Drosophila melanogaster: one gene and its partners. The protein of the gene in region 1 interacts with the protein of each later gene in a pairwise test. Each region holds a gene or a part of one and is shown in the gene's direction. Other genes may lie near its edges. The genes, in order: CG14086, TMEM216, CG3598 and CG34208.

Region 1 (6,429 bases):
CTATCAAAGTGAGGAGGACACCAAATTGGATCAATAAATTATAAAAAGCCTTTTTTAAATGGCTACAAAGTAATTAACTCTAACCATATCTAAAAGACATTAACTAACAAACAAACATTACAATAAATGTAAAATTTTGTTTTTGCAAATTACAACTTTTTTCATTGTGTACAGTGTAAGACCAATTGCAAGCATAGAAGACCTGGACAAACGACTCCAACTGCAGGAGGCGGTATCAAGGACGACCTTCAGAAGTATTTCGCTAGAATCCTCGAGCTGTTCCTTAAGGAAATTAACTTTTCAGAGTGTGGGGCATCTGTGAATTATGTCGTAGATGGCGGCGACAGTGGAGACTTTCCTTGGGGCGACGGCTGCCACTTTGGATGTCATTAACGCCGCATAATGCAAACAAGCCTGACGACAGACACCTTAGCAAATGCACAGGACAATAAGCGGAGGAGCTAAAAAAATATTTACTCGTGCTTCCCCTCTCCTGAATTTGGCCCCCATTTAATTTATGAGGATGAGGGCGGTGTAGCAACCGAAAATGTTTTTGTCCACATTCTGCGTACTCGTCCGCCTCTTGGCAATTGCTCAGCTTTGCTCCTGGTTGTCTTTTGAGCTTCTTTACACCTCCCGCCGCTCCGCTCACCATTCAGCCAGTTATGAAAATTACTGAAACGTGGCCAAAGACGGGTGCGGGGATCCACAGGACCTGCAGGACGAGGGCACGCACACACAGAGCCGCTTGAGCAGTGGCAACAACATGAGGCACTGGCTTCACACACAGGACAACGTGACAAATAAAATCAAGCTGGCTTTGAGCAGTGGGCCGAGAATCCTGTTTTAGGCTTAAAACTTCAATATTTGTAATAGTTAAAGATTATCTTTACACCTGGTAGAATATTTATCAAGTGCATATAAGTAAGATTTTCGTTGTGTAAAATCGTAGGTAAATTTCATACTTCCCTCTTCTTTTACATTTGGAAAAATCGTAATCAAGTAAGCATTCGGGTGGGAATATATTTAAATCACACACAATATTAAGCTCTCGCCCATGGTGCCTTCTTGTAAAAAACCGCAGGACTATAAAGACTGACCCAATGCGCTACGCTACACAATAAATCGCGAGAGGAAACACTTTTTACAAAAAAAAAGAGATAAAACATACAAACAGTTCTAATTAAAATACTGAAGACAAAAAGAAAATTAATTATTTATTTGAGTTCCTTAATTATATTAACAATGTAATTCAAAAATTGTATTCCTACTACAATACTAAAAAAAAACCAAGTTAAATAACTTCTGATTGAAATTAAAGCATTATTCTAGTTAAAAATCAGCCCTATATTCTTGCTTTCAATTAATATATTTCAAGAGCATAGTTTTAAAGAATTCTCATACTGCCAACGCCAAATAAGTTTTCAAATACAAATGATAGTGGATGTCAAAAACAGCTAACCAATTAAAAACATCTTTAAAACAACATGGATAAATTTTGCGGTCTCCATAAATCTCAGCATTAAATCGCAAAAACGCATTTAAAAAGAAATAAACACTACGCGTTCGTTCTCGTAACAAATCAACTTAGCAGTTTCGAATGCAGCGCCGCCCCATTGGCTGGTATTTGGCTACAAAGTCAGTGGCAGTAGGAAAAGCAATGGGAAAAGCAGCCTGAGCGGCGACTCTGGATCCTGACTCCGAAAATAGAAACGAATCCTGGCCGGTCCTTTCATTCAGTTTCATTCTGCTGGCGCCGCTGGAAGCGTGCGGACGTTCGTTGTTTAGAGCTCGGCCATAAAGTCGTGTGGCAAAGTGGCACTTGACAAAAATAAAAAAAGTTACAAACCTTCAACAACAATAAGAAAAATATTTAATAAAAAAAATATATATTATAGAGGGCACACAACGTGCGGGGGCAAAGTGCAAATGGTAACGGTAATTTGCAGACATTAGTTGCCACACACACACACACACACACACACAAGCAAACGGTGCGGTGATTAAAGGCAATGGAAGGAGAGGTGCGAAAAATGTCACATTACGAATACGCAGTGTGTGCCCGAGTTAAATGGTGAAATTTAAAAGCTGTGCGAGCTGGAATTGAAAATATTTATCGCAAAGTTGTTTGGCCACTTAGTATGCCAGGCACGTAGTGCATTTTTGTGATGTGGATACGGCTCTTTGATTGTTTTATTAGCGATTCCCTTGGACAGGACCTAAAACGTCAGTTTCGGATGAGAGTATTTAAAGTTATGGAGGATTAGAAAGTAGTACATTGAAAATTTGAATTTAACCAAAAACTAAAATTGTTCTAAAGTGAAATTAAAAACGAATAAATATATTAAATAAATTGGAAATTAAGTAAGTGGAGCTTACACATTAATCAAAAATTTAAATGCTATGGCTTCGACTTTTGTCATCAGTAATAACGAAGGAGAAGAAAAACTTGAGCTCCAATAAATAAGATATTAAGAATAAAGCCGCACTTTTGGCGATTCATAAAACAAATATAGATAGAAATTCATAAAGTAAATATCTATATATATATATATATAACCAAGTCAGCCATGAGCCAGATGCAACTGCAATCGCAGCGCGTTCGCCGCGCCCGTCATCATCGCCGCAATCAGTCCGCAGAGCCGTGCGAGTGCCTTCGTCCTGTGATAAGGGTTTTTGGTCTGCTGACTTCATTCGGTAAGCTCAAGTGCGCGGAAATCCGAGCCAGTGGAATAAGACTTGTCGGTGCCGGTGCCCAGGTGACCCCCGTTTCGAGATAATGCCAATCTCGATACGAGGCTATGATGCATGTGCATGTGCATGCATTTATGTATGAATGTGCAATGCTTTTCTGGCCCTTATTTGGAATGTTTACCCTTGACAAATCGTAGGAAATACTTGTGCATGGGAACCATTGCCTCGGGATATGTTGAGTGCTGTGGCTTATTATATTTCTTGGCACTGAATGGGATTCGCAAGACGAAGACGATGCTGAATGGGGACACGCTCTTATTGGCTGCTTTTATTGTTCCTTTCAATTCATATAATATTACTCTTTGAGCAATATTTTCATTGTACACAAAGGTTTTGCATTTGTTTGAGAAGACTGGCAAAATAAATGTACATAAAAGGAAATGGTTTTCCATATTCACAGAGCACATATAGCACAGAATATGTGCTCTAATGAACAGGATATTTGACCTAATGTAATTTGGTAAAATAAATAAATGCCATCCAATACTACTGAAATTCCAGTTTAGCTTAACAATTAAATAGAACACAGAGAGTAAATTGGTAGAAGATTAATTTCCCTTTTTTTGCGTCATTTAATTACAATTCAATTATGCTTTTTTTGTACAACCCAGCTTTGTGTTACATTTTTTCCGTTTAAATTGAGGCAATAATTTTAGATTGACAGCCTGAAATTTAATGGCATTTCGTTTGTCAATTTACGAAGTCAAATTTAATTTATTAAACAGGCAAGGTAAAGTGAAGCAAAAACTTAATAAATAATAATATTACCTTTCTGAAATGAATTCAGTTTGGTTGCACAACGTAACTTTTTCACCCTGTATCCGCATTCTAATCTACGAAAATGCAATCACATTTTTTCATCCCAATTTTTCTGCCATCTGGTGAAGTTATCAAAGTTGGCTTAAACGCTTATCGTGGCCAATCATAACGATTTTCCTCCACCATCTGACATTTTCCTAATGCGCTTAAGATAGTGCACCGCCGTTTTTTTATACAGAATTTGATAAATCGCCCAGCTGCAGGCAGGCCAACAAAAACTTCGGGTCAAGTTCAAACTAATTTCTTTGCAAATTGTTTTGGGGTCCATCATGGGTGCAGTGGCACGCAGGAAAACAAAGTATAAAATCTCTGTAGTTCATAAGCTCCGCATTATAGGGATCGGGTAAGAGGGATGGGGTTTTCCAAGGAAACTCTCTGGCAGAGCCATTAACAAGGCATTGGCCTCTATGCAGCTTGCAGCTTGCAGCTCACGACTGGCATCCTGTGCCAAGAGCAGAGTTTTCCCAGCCCGATTTTCCCCTTATCAGCAACTTTTCCATACGGTCGACAATGAGCTGTGTTGTTAGCCTTTAGGCGCCAGCCATTCGCCAAGTTTTCCTCTTGCCCGGCATCTATTTTTCCCCCACCGCTTTCAATTATCCAGATAATTTTTGCATGTTTTTTCGATTTCCGCTTTTTCAATTTTTATCTCCGTTGACAGCATTTAATGTAATTGGTTTGGTTTCGGTTCTGCAGTTGTGCTTAAATATGGGGCATACATATACATATATCTAACTGGCTAATCTGATTGGTTTTTCGCGACCCGGCATAATAAAAACAACTTAATTAGATTGTATTTTTATGGACCACTGGGCGTGGTGGCTCCATAACCACATCTAACCATATCTTATACACTCAAAGTGGATTTGGCTAAGACAAAATGTGAAGCGGAACCATAATGTGGTTAGAATATGAATGCCCTGCGGAGGGCTGTTCGACAAAAATATAGAAACCTTTTAAGTTATAAAATTTAAGTTCGTCATGAATATTGAAGTTTCTTCCAAGCTATTTATTATTAATTATCATTATGTTATTTCGTAATGTGTAGGACATTGCCTTCTTAAAATACTCTATTGCAAATGATGTAAGCTTCAGTAAAATTGCGATAAACTTCTTGAGCTCACCTCGTTTCCATTCATTGGTTTTGTATTACATTTTATGGCCAAAGCATGGTAAACAAAAAAGGCCCAGCTCAATAAATATGCTTATAAATATATTTGCCTAGACACACTCACATTATTTTATAGGCTCGTTCAAGGATAACACTCCTCGTTTCAACCCGCCAAAAAGGACCCCCCGCACCGAACCTTTCTTTAGCCATTTTTCATTTCAGTTATCTGCGGCGTTGGCGTTGATGTCTACATGCATGGCTATCGGGCCGGTCTTTATATAGTGTAAGTCACGGATCTAAATATCCCCCATAACTATACTAATTTCTGGTTAGTTTTTCAGCCGTGCTGGTAATGTTTATCGAGATCAAGTGGCTTGTGACTATCTTCCTGCAACTTCAGTGCGCAGAGTAAGAAAACTATTCAAGATTACCAAATAACATGTTCATAAATTATAGTTATTCGTATATATATTATTTGATAATTAGCAGTTATTATTTATGAAATATAGAAATTCTAGTTACCAAGCCTAGTAGTTGTAAAACTAATTAAACCCTAATTATACTATAATATGATATACTTTACTATTATATACAATACTCTATATCAAGTGCCTTTGCTCAGATTTTTCTCTGCAAATTTTTCTCTGTTCACATATTTGTGAATTCAATTTGTTTCAGGGATAATTACCAGCGAAGGTCCTGCAGCTGCTTGGCCTGCTGGCGACTTTCAGCGATTTGTGGCGGTTGGCGACCCACTCCTGTTTATGCGGTCATCGGCATCTGCCTGATCCTGTATCCCCACAATCTGTGGCTGAGTTATGTGGCCGGGATGTTCCTGATACTCCTCGGACTCCTCAGACTGTGCACGCTGCTCCGATTCAGCGCCTCGAAGGAGGAGGGTCTCCTGCCGCAGTGCGACTTTGAAAAGTGATGCCAGCCAACGAATGTCTTTGTTATTTGTTTCTAATGTCTGTTTGTTCTGCGATGATAGGGTGTCGAGCTTTGTGGATACCATGGAGGATGATTTCGCGGAGATTGGTGCCACGCAAGCGGGATTGGATGAGGAAGCGGAGGAGGAGGGCGACGACCACACCGCCCTAGACGACGATGTTTGCTAATAGTTTAAGCCAGCTTTTCTGCCTAATGTAATGTGAGATTTTAAACGACTTAACAAATGTCTAATAATATACAGTTTGTAAAGAGGTTTCGATTTAAACGCTGAGTGCGTGGTATATTTTTATAGGTAATCGATAAACCCACACTTTGTATGATTTTTGGTGTCATTTATAAACGAAGCCACTCAAAAGTCAAAAAGGACATTCTTCAAAAGAATTTTGAAAGTTCCTTTTAAGTATTGGGTATCTGCTTTTTACCTACAGAAATAATTATCAAAGCTATTTCGTTTTAAATAATGTTATTTTAATTTCGTCTTTTATTGTTTTTTGTGCTAAACGGATTTCTGCGTTCACTAAAGGCCAAAATGAAGGGCTGGTCGTCGAATTCTTCGGTTTTTCTCAGACCAAAAGAACGCTCATTGCCGTAATCATACTCGTCCTCATCATAGTAGTTATAGTAGTGCCTCTGGTGGCCTTTAGGGCCTCCATGTCCATGTGATGGAGGAGGAGGAGGTGGAGGATACGGATACGGTGGATATGAACCTCCGGGATATCCAGGAGGACCCTGAGGACCAGGTTGGCCAGGGATTCCAGGCATCCCGGGGTGGCCCTTATCTCCACGCGGCCCCT
Region 2 (7,210 bases), on another chromosome or scaffold:
GCTGCCCAGCGCGGTGATCTTTCTGTGCGGCTTCTACCTAATCCTGCACTCGTGGCTGAACTTCACGTCGGAGCTGCTACGCTTCGGTGATCGAATGTTCTACAAGGACTGGTGGACGTCGCACACTTACGATGGCTACTACAGAAACTGGAATGTCGTCGTGCACGACTGGCTGTACGAGTACGTGTACAAGGATATGTACACTCATGTGTTCCGAGGTTCCAAGGTGGCCGCCTCGCTGGCAGTGTTCATGATCTCCGCTGTGGTCCATGAGCAGGTTCTCGGCTTTGCCCTGCAAATGTTCTTCCCAGTGATGTTCTTCTTCTTTGGGGTCGTGGGTGTTGCCTTGGTATTCCTAATGCGGAGTGCTCCAAAAGTGATGGGCAACATCTTTCTGTGGTTCTCTCTGATCCTGGGAAATGCCACGCTGATCTCACTATACGCCATGGAGCATTACGCCCTAAAGAACTGCAACCTAAGCAACGAGAGTTGGACGTATCGCCTGCTGCCGGCGGTATGGCGCTGCTACAATTAGTCAATTAGTTAAACACTACTTTTAAACTGTCTGTACACAGGGCGTACGCTTCGATTTGTATTTTAGGTAAATAAACTTAATGAAATTAACAGAAACGATGTCTTCAGTTCGTTTCGTGTCTTTGAACTTCCCAGCTGAACCCTAAAGCTATGGTTTCTTATTTTACATCAGGCTGCCTGATGCTAACTTATGAAATACTACGTGAGCATTGACGAGTGCGTCCTTGGAAGAGCATTCCTCGGCGGCATGGCATCCTCCGCCTAACCGCAGAGATTCGCGATGGCCTGAGCCGCATTAGCGGCTGCCACCTGTGGAGCGTCCTCTGCCGGAATGCGTTTGCGTCGGAATAGAATCACATGCGGCTCCGGCGCGTGGACCATGTAGTGCACCCAGCCGGGGCTCTGCTGCACGCCCAGGTTGCGCCACTCCGTCTCGGTCATCAGATGAGCCTTCGGCACATGTTTGGCCAAATCCGGTGGCAAGATAACATGCCTGCAGGGAGGGAAAGTGGTTTGTGTGTAAACAAACAGTTCACGGATGCTGAAACGCAAGTTGAACGTACCTGTATTCAAAGTTGTCGTCGAAGTACTTCTCTGAGTATTGAATTTGATCGGCCGGCATTGCGAAAAGCCAGAAAACCTGAGGTAAATTAAGCAATTTTACCAAAATAGGTCAATAAATTCAGATAGATATGCCACAACTGATTCGATTCTAAATACTATTGTTATCGCTGCACGTATCGAACATAAAGTTATCGATTTGGTTATCAGCTGTCCAGTTAACAGCACCTTTGGCGGTAAACTCAAATGTACTGTTTTTAATGGCACGATCTTAGCGGGCTTTAATATATTGAACATAAACTTTTTTCTGTATAACAATATTTTTGCAATGTTTAAAGCCATTTTAAAGCCATTTTGTTAAAAAAACGAGTACTTTGTAAAAAGATGCTGTTAGAAAATGTTAACATATTTAGCGAATGAAAAACTCAATTGGATAATATGTGATTTCCAGTGTGACCGGAACTCGCAGGCTCGCACATTTTCCAAATGCAATCGGCAATTTCTCCGTTACTCGCCCATGGCCACATTTGTGCATGTGCGTTTGAGGTTCCTTTCCTTTTTATATAAGCCCCTCGTCTCTTGCCAACAAACCAACAACAACAACAACCAGCCAGGCCAGCGGGCAACAACAACGCACAACAACGCGTATAAATAAACGTGAACGCATGTACTTAATATTAGCATAGAGTTGTCGCCTGCGTGCATTTCATATACATAACATAACATCCACTTACTCCCATGACAACGGGACTTTAGACAGTAACGGTGGAGCAGCTAGAAGAAGAGGAAAGGCGAAGTAGAACGGGAACAAGAAGAAAAAGCAGTGGAAGAGGTGAGGACGATACGTAAATACAGTCAAACTTCCATAAGTAGATACGACTTTACTACTACAATAAAAAGTGTCCTTTAGTGATGAAGAAAATGGGTTCTAAGAACCTAAAACCTTTATGTATATGTACTCCCTATTGTCGCTTAATGAATTTACCGTTACGGTATGCTAGTAAATAAATGCATACAATGTACATATGTAGATACATAGGCACAGCAAAACCACCTATAAATTCGATTGATTTTATGAAGTTCTAGTTGAGGAAGTTTGACTGTATGTATGCGCGCATTGGTAAATACGAGCAGACCGCAATTAGCAAATATTTTTCAGTCCAGCAGGTATCACTCACCACGTACCGCCCAAAGGTCCCAATGCTGGCGTAGAGAAGCCGAAACACCTGCTGCTGCCAGTGGAAAAGCGGGAGGAGCTGCTCCAAACTGCCCAGGTGACATCCAATCATTTAGAGGCGACGCACCTGCCGCCTTGAGGAACTGGTCGCCACGCAGGAGGACACGGATACGGCAACGGTTACGGACTCGTTTCCGCAGTAGCGGGCACCATGAACGCCAGCCTCATCTATGAGATACTTATGTATCTGAACTCGTTCTACTTTGGCATGTACGCCGCCTTCGAAGTGGGCGTGGGCGTTCTTAAGGCGATTAATCTAAACTACGGCGAGAACGCGTTGTCCCGGGAGGCCAGCATCCTGCTCTCACTGTGCATCATCGAGACCGTGCGCATTGTCTTCGGGCGGAAGAGCAGTCTAAGCGATCGTGGTGAGTAATCCCCATGATCCCCATGTTACTGCAAGGGTGGGAAAAGTCCACCGGCAGCGATGATGACATGGCGAAATTATTTGTTTGCCCGGTCACAATGCCCATTTCATGCCATCCCCCTACCTCCGGGGCCATAACCCATAAACGTTTGGACGGGCATACATACATATATGTATGATGTAGCCCACTCGGCGTATGCGTAATTATGGTCATCACCCCGGATGAAAACACGCGTTTTATGGTGGCAGGGGAAAGGCGCCCTTCTGGCACATTAAGCAATATGCAAAGGAAATCTATCAAAGCGAATCATCGAAATGAGTTATTGGAAAAGCAATTGGAGCTGTTAATATTAATTATCGCAATGTGTAAACATGAAATTATTAGTATAATACTTTAAAACACTGAATCACTTTCAATCGAATACACTTAATTATAAACAAGTAGACGAACTATACGATTTTCCGTGCATCTGTAGCTAACATTTTCCTTGTTTTTCTCTCTTTGCAGGCTGGCAAGCAACCGCATCCGTAATATTAACACTGCCCAGTCTTGCTATTGTTATCTACTTGTGTTGTTTTCAAACCTTTGTTCTCAAACTCGAAATTATTCTGAGTGCCTTAATGATCACCCTACAAGGTGCTGAACTAGTCTACGCCAGCATATTCATTTGTACAATGTGTCGCCCCGTCACATACACCTAGCAGTTGATAAGCCGCGTTGCCGCCGCCACGTCAACGACCAAGATCGAGATCAAGACCAAGCCAGCACTAACACTCCCACCTGGAGGAGAAGGAGTAGAAGCATCCACAGCCGAGCGACGACTACGACGAAGACGAAACACTTTCCTCTGGCAATTTCACATCAAACGATTCGCCAAGGCCTCAAAACTAAGCCACTTAAATGCACACTAAGCCACCGCACATAAAAACAAAACAAAAAATCTAGATCCTACTAGACCTCCTAGGAATCCGTGCCAAGACAACCCGATAACATACCCAATGGCTGGCAGTTGAGGAGGACTTTCAACAAGGTACGTGAACCTTTATAAACTTATATAATCCGCACAGATCATTCGCGCCCGCGGAAATCACATCGCAGCGAAACACGACGCGTCCGATTCTATCAAAAGCAAAGCTGCATTTAATTTGCATTTCTTGGTTGCATTCTTTTGCCCGGCCTTTGTGGCGTTGCCTCCCTGCTGGCGCAGTTGCTCCTCGGACCCGCTCGGTTCTGGTATTTTTATACGGCTCTGATGGTCTAAAATTATATGCGAACTGCACGGCTCGTGCAACACCGCTGCTGTCCCCTAGGTGCAATGTACACTTCTAATTTGAATGTAATATACACGGCCCACTGCGGGCAAGTTAGCCTGACTGTAATGGCCAAGATGAGAGGGCTCTCCGTTTGGTCTTTGGTCTAGTGAACATGCCCTGTACGATTCACAGGAGAGAGATTCACGGGACTTTAGCGAGGCATAACGCTTTGAGTTTTTAAAAATAATTAAAATTCCAACAATGGTTTTCATATATTCACCCTAAACCTATCCTGAATTTCAAGGTAACCATTTAATGGCCCTGGGCCCTGTAGAGCATAACGCCCAGGGAGTTTTTAGTAGTTTTTTCCCCCCAACTAGCCGCCAGTGAAATCATTCTCCCCCACATTTCTAGGCAGGCGATCTGCCGGCCAATGCTGACCCAAACAGCGAGCAGAGAAAACAAATAAAAGGCGACAACGACCAGCAGCACATTATTCAAATAAACAGCACATTTCGCAGCGACAAACCGTGAGACCGCCGATGTCGATGCCGCTGCCGCTGCATTGGCCAAGCACGGCAGGTTCGCGTTATTATTATGGTCAGTCTATAAATACAGTGCCCAACGTGAGCAACGCCGCCGTGTGAGCGATCCGGGAGATCAAATCGGTCCAATTTGCCGTAGACATCGAGGGGTAACAGGAGAAGCAGCAGAAGGAGGTGCTAAGCCGGCAGAAAGATGCCGCCCAAGCGTCCGCCACCGCTCGTGCCGAAGAAGCCAAATCCCAGCATGAACTACGAGGTGTTGATCTACCTCAACTCGTTCTACTTTGGCATGTTCGCCTGTTGCGAGATGGCCATGGGCCTCCTGAAGGCCATCAATCTCAGCTACACGGGACATACTCTAGCCCTGGACACGGGGGTGATGATTAGCTTCATTGTCTTTGAGACGATCCGATTGATAATGGGGCGCATGAGTTCGCTGGCCGATCGAGGTAGAAGCTCCCGCCTGCTGGCTGGTCTAATTATAGGATATTCTAAAACAATAGAATCATCCTCAATGGCGTTATCAATCGTTTAATCAAACCAAACCATTAGACTTAAGAAATACTAATTAACTCATTATCATCCTTATTTATAATTGTAATAGAATAGTATCTATGGCTTTTACAATCAGATTCTAATGAACTCTTCTGCTTTTCTATCACAGGCTGGTCGGCCATACTGTCGGTCTTCATGACCGCCCCCTGCTTTGTGGGCGTCTCCTATCTACTGCTGCTCCAGACCTACCGACTGCGCCTGGAGTACTGCCTGTGCACGCTGCAGATCGCCCTTTACCTGACCGAGGTGTGGTATGCCATCGTCTTCGTTTTCTCGCTGTGTCGTCCAGTAACTTATGATTAGCCATATAGACAGAAACATCCAACAGCCAACTAGCAGCAAATATACATGCGAAAGTTTAGCAATCTATAAGATCGAAAAAGGATAATATGCGGTGTAAGGAAATTTAATGAATTTGAAAAGCAGTAGGCAGCTGAATTGCTCATGGCCGTGGAGAAGAGAAACCAAACAGAAAGAAAAAAAAAACAAAACAAAACACATATGTAGCATATTAATAATTATGTATAGTAAGGTTTATGATAACATACACACACTCTTATATACATATATTTAACGGTTTTATATACAAAAATTGTTAACATTTAAGCATCAATTGGAACCAATATAAGACAACAAGCAAAACCTAAAACTTGAATAATTTTCACAATTTTAAGATGAAAATTTTTTTGTAAAAAGAAAAATATCGAAAAACAGCCGAAAAACAAATTTGATGTGTGGAAATAATAATTTATAATAGTTCACAGATAGCTCGAATCTTAAAAAGAATTGTAAAAAAATCAGTGGAATGTCTCACAAAATCTAGTCAGCATCAAAATCATGAAAAACAAATGGCCGAAAGGCCATTAAAAAAATTCATTACCACTAAGAGTCAGCGTTTAGTAGTTCATACCAATATTCAAAAGGCGGAGAACAACATAATTAAGCCCAGTTAAAAGTCTAGACCATGTGTGTACTTTAATGAAACTACTTTATATAAACCTAGCAAATAGCGTAAATAACATTTTCAAGACGTCACTAAAAACAATGCAAACCCGAGCGGGCAACCGTTTACTAGAAAGCGAACAACAAATTAGCTAAATCATATAAAACATTTATAGAGTGTTAAAAACTAGGCGAAAACCCTCCATTACACTTCTCCCCAATTCAGCCTATTGGCAACTCGAAACGCCCTTTAAATCACGCTCAATTATCCCCGCCTGATAGGATCCGAGGATTGCAGCTCCTCCAATGCTAGTCACTAATGTTCACAAACATTTTCTAAGCTAGACCGAAGATTGTGTAATAATTTGATAAGACCTTTGTGTGGTTTCATAGCAAAATAACGCACAAATCGATAACAAAAACTCTCAACAGTCCACAAATCTCATGCTTTTAAAACAAAAGAAATAATTTTACTGAAACCAAACAGCTGGAAGCTAGAAGCTGAAAGAAAACCAAAGCCACATCCTACGTTGAATAATTTACCTGTATAATATTTATGTCATTTCGTTAAACGCAAAATGTTAACATACTTTTAAAGCGCGTGTAAAACGGATAGTTAATAAAATAACGACAACAATATTTAAAAGAACATATACACTCGATGAAAATGAATATTAAAGATCGAAAAAAAGAAAAAGGAATCTGTTATTAGTAGGCCGTGGGTTCAATAAGATCTTTTCGAGTATGATAGGTGTATTTCGTTTTGTGCCTCCAAAATTTCAGATATTATTCAGCTACACACAGACAGGCCTCCCAAATTTGTAAGCTCTGTAAATTCAAAACCAGAACTGCTGCAGGCCAGTGGCGAAGTTAATTTGTCAGAGGAAAACTCAAGCCATCTCCATGGATAAAAACCACAAGTCGGGTGAGTCAAGCCGAGTGTGGCATCCTTAAGTTGTTAAAACTATGTGTGTTCTTTGCTCCAGAAGAGGGGTTTGGACGTTCAATGTCTAGTAGCAGTCGCCGCGTCATGTGGAAGCTCAACGAGGAGGAGGAGACATTCGACTCCTTGGTCAATTATCGGCGGCTTCCTTCGCGCAGCCTAAACCGAAGTCAGGTGACCGATGTGCCCACCAAGGGACACACTACCTCCGAAAATTGCCAGCTGCCAGCGCAAGAGTTGGAAACAAAGAGCGCCACCAACGAACAAGGTGC
Region 3 (3,164 bases), on another chromosome or scaffold:
TCTCCGAAAACCGGCTCAACCTTCTGCACATGGTATTGGGAATGGTGGGACTTTGGCTGGGACTGGTGGGGATATTCGCGAAGAGTATCTTCAAGAGCAAGATACATGAGCCGCACTTTAATTCCAAACATGGATTGTGTGGCCTTTTGGGATTCCTGCTTATCGCTGGGGCCGTGGCCAGTGGTTTCGCCCTGGTGTGCTTCACCCACCTGGCTCTGCACGTCATCCACCGATTGATGGGCTTGTGTGGCTTTGTGCTCCTCTCGTGCAGTCAGTGGTTCGCCCTCAATTTGGGATTCGCACGACGGGAGTGGAGTAGTTGGAAAATTAAAAGGCTCAGGATCTCCACGCTGGCCGCCACCATTTCAGTGGTTAGCTACGAGTTCCTCTGCCTCTGTAGAGACATTGTCCATTTGCTACCCAACAGCTGGTTCAAAGCCATCGGATTGAAAATTGATCACCTTCACAATTAAATTTTATGACCAAGCATTGTGAATAATTAAATTGAAGTGCTGAAGGCAATTGCAAAATGTTTATATTTTCTAAGCCCTACCATATAAAAAAGTAAATCACACAAAAATTACATTTATAGGAATTCTATTCAGCATGACAGCAAATATTTGGAAGATCAAGTGAAGTTTGTTAATCAATTTCGAAAGAAACATTAGCATACTTTCTGACTTTCAACTGAGAAATCCCTTGGAAAACAAAAACACTTTAATATCTATGCTTGCTATTTGGTCATATTGCAGTATGCCTAAGATTTTAAACAAGTTTCAACATTGTTTAATTAAGAAATAATAAATTCCGTGTCAAAAATTGTAGATTTATTGCACGACTAAAGAAAACAGTAAAATTACAGAGGGCTCGCATGTGAAATATTGGCCAACCTTCAGTCTTTCACCTGTACAATTGGCCATTTCCACGCATAAGAAGCCTCTTGGCTGGCATATTAATCACGGGACAAAGGCATAATTCCATCCCAACGTGGCTCGATCAATCAGCGATGCTGGAATACACATTTGCCCCCTATACCATACACCCCTTTCATCGATATTCACATTGGTCATTGGGTATATGACCGGTGGCCGGGGATGGGATACGACCACTTCGCATGCGTCGCTGACTCCGAGAGCAGGTCCATCATAGGTTCGGATCGGCCCTTGACTTCTCGGGTTTCTCGGTCTCTTGGGATGCCGAGATTTGTGCGTGTCTCTGATTGTTTTGTCATTAGCATGACCGCGGCGCTTTTTTTTTTTTTTGGGCCTTTGGTGTTTTTGGTGATCTTCGACTTTTTGATTCGGCGGCTGCTGATTTATTCAGCGCTCTTTCTTTTGTCCCACCGGCGGGTCACTGACATTCGTTTCTAATTCTATTTTTCACCATTTTCTACATTTCTTCCACAAAATTTCGCCACTTGAAATTATGCCGACATCGACCGCAATTATGACCAATGTTCTTGTGGCCTGAGTGGGCTCTCTCTTCTCGGTTTCTATGGGTTCTAGATTATGGATTCTGGATTTTTGGCCAGAACTTTTTCGCATAAAAACCTAATGCCGCCGCCACAGATCGTACAGTTCTGTTTGGGCCTTGCTTACAATTAGGATCCGGTCGGCAGTAAATCTTTAATTTCTGTGCACTTTACGTCGAGAAATCTTCAAAAAAAAAAAAAAAAAACAAGATGTCCAAGCTGGGTGCTATCTTGTTGGTGGGCTTGTGCCTGTTTGTGGCCGTGGCCTTGGCCGAGCCACGCCTTCAGCACGTTCAGGGGCGCAATCAGGTGCAGGGTCAAAGGGCGCAGCAGCATCCCTACCTCTTCCTGTCAATTCCCAAGGGTCGGGCCAACGCCGGCGCCGTCGTCCAGGGCTTCGAAATTGTCGAGGAGGAAGATGATGATCTACATGATGAGGACCAGCACGATGACGAGACGGAGGATGACGAGGAACTGGAGCATCAGCTGGGCCTGAACTTTGCCCGCAGCGGTCTGGCTTACAGGCAGAACCACGCTGATGACGAACAGGACGATGATCAGGATCAGGAGCAGGATCACGTTCAGGATGAGCTGCCCAAGAAGCAGATGATGGTTAACCGGGATCAGGCTGGTGCCATTATGGTGCCCGATGGCATTATCGAGATCGAGGGTCAGAGTGTTCTGGACGAGAAGACCGGCAAGGCGGCTCTCCTAGTGCCTCGTGCCGCCCTAGACGCCATTCCCGATGGCGCGGTGGTGGCTCTTATGGAGCGATCCGCCTCATCCGTTGATGAAATCGAGGAAGAGCGCGCCAACCGCGTGGTAGTTCGTCGCCGCAAGAACAACGGACGCAGGAACATTCGCCGCCGCGGCATCAACAACAACAATATCCGACGCCGCCGCCCCGCCCAAAGGCGTCGCCGAGTGGGTGGCAACCGCAGGCGCAATGTACGCGTCATTCGCCCCCAAGGCGGCAACCGTAGGCGTGGCAACCAGAGGCGCCGCGGACAGGTCGTATTCCAGGGTTGAGACACGAAACGAAGGTCGTCCTAGCCCCATTTCTATATAGTATTATAGTTAAGATCCCCTAACGATCAGGACAAGAAATTTGAGACACTTGATGACGATGCGACAAATAAAATGTGATATGAAAATTATAAATATTTTTTTTCGTATTTTTTATGGGTGGTGAAATTATGATGTGAAATTAACCAACATGCAAAGACTATGGTTTTGAATCATTAAGTTGAAACTTATTTTAAAGGTTTTGCCGTAAAACATCGTATACTACTTGTATAACTTTATTATTTATTTATCATATATGGTGTACCATTTCCTAGCAGTGTATAAGATACATAAGATTGCTTTGCCTCAAAATAGATCACTGCTTAGCTCCATTGATAGAAAAATTTGCATTTATCATGGAGTTTATTTGTATCATGGTTCAGCTTTATTCCAGTTTATCCTTTAACTTCGACACAACCTTAGTTATAAGTCACTTAATGCCCATAGGCTATCAAAAGTATGATATATGAATTAATAACTGCAAATTTTGTATGATAAAGGATCCGAAAATCAGATGGTACACACATATATACAAACAATGGTAGAGAAACTCATTTGAGAACATCTCTATAGAACTGTAAAAGTTTCGTAGTAAACTATTTTTGCTAATCGTTTGGCCAACAAAATA
Region 4 (2,784 bases), on another chromosome or scaffold:
TGCCAATTGGGCAGTTTACATAATCCAAAAACTCTGCATTTGCATCACTGCTAAAAAGATTAGCTGCCTTGGCTGTATCCATGGCAGATCCTCCTCCGATGGCCAGAAATGCATCGAACTCCTTGCCGCGCGCAAACTCCACGGCATGCCACATGCTCCCATCCGTGGGCTCCACCCGGGTTTCATCATAGACTTCGTAGTTGATGCCATTACGAGCCAGTGAATCCAAGGCCACTTTCACGGAGGGCAATTGCACGACATTTTTATCCGTGACCAAACAAACCTTCCGAGCTCCCAAGTTGCGAAGATCGGCTCCCACTTCGGCACTTACTCCCGGTCCAAATCGAACAGTCGAGGCTGACATCTGTTTATCAATACATTTGACCAAATTTGAATTAGAATTTGTTATATACCGAACAAAATTTAAGTTAAAAGTATTCACAAGATCTAAAATATAAATTCTATTGGGATGCTTAAGAATATAGAGATAGTATTATCTGGTCCAGGGTATGACCACCTGTCTAAAGATGAGAATCTACTATCTGGAGGTGCTCCAAAGTCCAAGGTTTTGCCACTTACCTCGAAGGCGTATTCCATGCGACCCGTTTGGGAGGCGGTTGGAGCTGCTGAGCCATAGTTATGCGAATGGGCGGGGCACTTGCAGCTATAAGACCATACTTTATTTAAATCACTTGAAATCAGTTATAAAACGCAATTTTTACTTACGAGTTGGCCACGATCGTGTTGATCAAACCTAAGACATTCTTCCGCGACATTCTGTATATAAATGAAATCAGCTGGACTGGTCTTTCGTTTGATAAGAACCCGCCGAATCGATAGCTGGCGCCAAAAGACAGCACTTCATAATCGATAGCTAACAATTTGAAATTCTCTGTCTTGCAGCTTTGAACTACAAGAAGACCCGAAAATGTGCGACTACCAGATGGAGTACTCCTTTATTTTTGAAGACAGCTCCTGCGAGGGCGATGCCTCGATGGCATCCTACGACAATGGATTCGAGTCCATGTGGCATCAAGTGCGCGAGGAGTTGCAAAGGGAGCGGGAGATGAATGAGCTCTGCCAGGTTTTCCAGCAAAACTTGAGCCTGAGTCCGCCGGTCATCGCGGATAGATGGAGATTCTGACTGGACCTCCCAAAAGCCAACTTATTGTGATATTTGTAAATTATAGTTTTAGCAGTTCGTTTGCCACATGAGTGGAACATCGTGAATGCACTTTTGATAAGTGCTCGGTTATTTTATATTGTAACTACCAGCCTTCAGAGGCGATCGTATGCATAGTTTCTTGAAGTCAATTTGTCCGTGTATTCAAATGTTTGCTTTCGTGAAAACTCGCATTGTTTTGTCACTCTACCAAGTAATCAATTTGTACCAATCAATCGCATATGGTTGTCCTAGATCTAAAAATGGCAATAATTTGCCTTCGGTATTGCACCTAATGTATTCAAGAACAAGTAGGGAAGCTCGAAATTTCTCAAATACTTACCCAAAAAATAGATAGAAATATATTTTCGATTCGCAATCGTTCAAAAACCCATTCGTTTTTAATTACGGGTCCCACAGTAAGATGTGACTGCGATTCAATTGTAATGGGAACAATTGTTCCCATTACAATGGAGCTAATTACCTAAATGTATGTCCGCCCATTTTTCGCGCTGGATTTACAACTCAATTTGCCGCGCTATCTGGCCGATCTGCGAACATAAACTACTGGCAATGGTAAACGATGTTGACGGCAGTTTCCCTCATTAGCATGCAGATCGTCGCCGATCTTCTGGGCGCCAGGCCATAAAACGTTTGATTCCAGGCGTATCGTTCAGCAGTTTGTGTTGAACTGGTAATAACTCGACATCGCGATCGCGAGATGAAGTGGCTTAGTTTGTTCCTGGTATTCGGCATCCTCGGACTCATCGGCAGTCTGGGCACTTTAGCCCTAGCGGAACCCAATCCGGAGCCCAAGGGTCGTCCGCACACAACGCGACGTCCTCGAAACGATAACGACAACGATCGACGCTAGCAATCCGAGCGGCTGGAGGAGATGGAAAAACCCACGAAATCTCCCCGAAGATGCACCGAACCACAAAGGACACAGGAGGCACAGCGACTCACGGTGAAGGTGAAATGTTTTGGAGTCGAGAAAATGCAATATGTTGAGGTGCTGCTCATCTAGCGAGTGGCATCTTCCCGTGCACAATAAAGACTCATTCGTTTACAACAGAGTTTTGATCATGGGTTTATTCGATAGTTTTCTTCGACATAGGTCTACAGTTAAATTGGTCAGCTTAATGATACCCTGACGCTCTCGGGGATTCTTCGATACTGATTGATTGGCGGATAAAGCAGGCTGACTGACTTTCTTTGGTTGTGCGAGGGTTTTTTTTGGGGAGTGCGTTTGTATTTACCATATATTTGATTCTGTTTCGGATTTTACCATTACCATGCGATATTGAACGTTGCTTAGGGCTTATCATAATTTACAAAGTGCCGCATCTTGCGGCTTATCAAATTTAATTCAATAGTTTCCGTTTCCATTTGCTTAGCTACGATAGTTTCGGTTACAAAATAATTTCAATTTATCTAAATTGCAATCGCATCTCCAGTGCCCAAATCGGCTTGTAATTCAGTGAGTATATTACCGTCACGCAATCTGCCTCTCACTTTTAAATCGGTTTAGAGCTATCTTTACAGTTACAATTACAATTAGAATTACATATATGTGATTGATTAGACTAATGCAGTTTGTTGGAGTTGGGGTGGAGTTTTTG

The links.
Region 2: the proteins of CG14086 (region 1) and TMEM216 interact in a two-hybrid assay, tested with the Drosophila melanogaster proteins (one large-scale study listed by BioGRID).
Region 3: the proteins of CG14086 (region 1) and CG3598 interact in a two-hybrid assay, tested with the Drosophila melanogaster proteins (one large-scale study listed by BioGRID).
Region 4: the proteins of CG14086 (region 1) and CG34208 interact in a two-hybrid assay, tested with the Drosophila melanogaster proteins (one large-scale study listed by BioGRID).

The regions. Positions count from the first base shown.
Region 1 is NT_037436.4:19,274,023-19,280,451, forward strand, and holds CG14086 (uncharacterized protein), read left to right. Parts: upstream 1-1,768; 5' UTR 1,769-2,570; coding exon 2,571-2,697; intron 2,698-4,906; coding exon 4,907-4,967; intron 4,968-5,017; coding exon 5,018-5,092; intron 5,093-5,362; coding exon 5,363-5,611; intron 5,612-5,675; coding exon 5,676-5,802; 3' UTR 5,803-5,897; downstream 5,898-6,429. Other genes in the region: CG14089 (uncharacterized protein), read right to left, coding at 6,104-6,429.
Region 2 is NT_033777.3:8,714,642-8,721,851, forward strand, and holds TMEM216 (transmembrane protein 216), read left to right. Parts: upstream 1-1,601; 5' UTR 1,602-1,927; intron 1,928-2,254; 5' UTR 2,255-2,483; coding exon 2,484-2,700; intron 2,701-3,207; coding exon 3,208-3,401; 3' UTR 3,402-3,730; exon of another isoform or gene 3,731-3,815; intron 3,816-4,556; exon of another isoform or gene 4,557-4,691; coding exon of another isoform or gene 4,692-4,947; intron 4,948-5,162; coding exon of another isoform or gene 5,163-5,356; 3' UTR 5,357-6,679; downstream 6,680-7,210. Other genes in the region: CG8112 (uncharacterized protein), read left to right, coding at 1-535; Cks85A (Cyclin-dependent kinase subunit 85A), read right to left, coding at 796-1,027, 1,098-1,156; CG11760 (uncharacterized protein), read left to right, coding at 4,692-4,947, 5,163-5,356; CG8136 (uncharacterized protein), read left to right, coding at 6,899-6,920, 6,982-7,210.
Region 3 is NC_004354.4:2,935,447-2,938,610, forward strand, and holds CG3598 (uncharacterized protein), read left to right. Parts: upstream 1-1,580; 5' UTR 1,581-1,681; coding exon 1,682-2,500; 3' UTR 2,501-2,627; downstream 2,628-3,164. Other genes in the region: CG3592 (uncharacterized protein), read left to right, coding at 1-473.
Region 4 is NT_033778.4:22,331,269-22,334,052, forward strand, and holds CG34208 (uncharacterized protein), read left to right. Parts: upstream 1-1,857; 5' UTR 1,858-1,883; coding exon 1,884-2,036; 3' UTR 2,037-2,237; downstream 2,238-2,784. Other genes in the region: T3dh (type III alcohol dehydrogenase), read right to left, coding at 1-364, 580-664, 727-776; pgc (polar granule component), read left to right, coding at 929-1,144.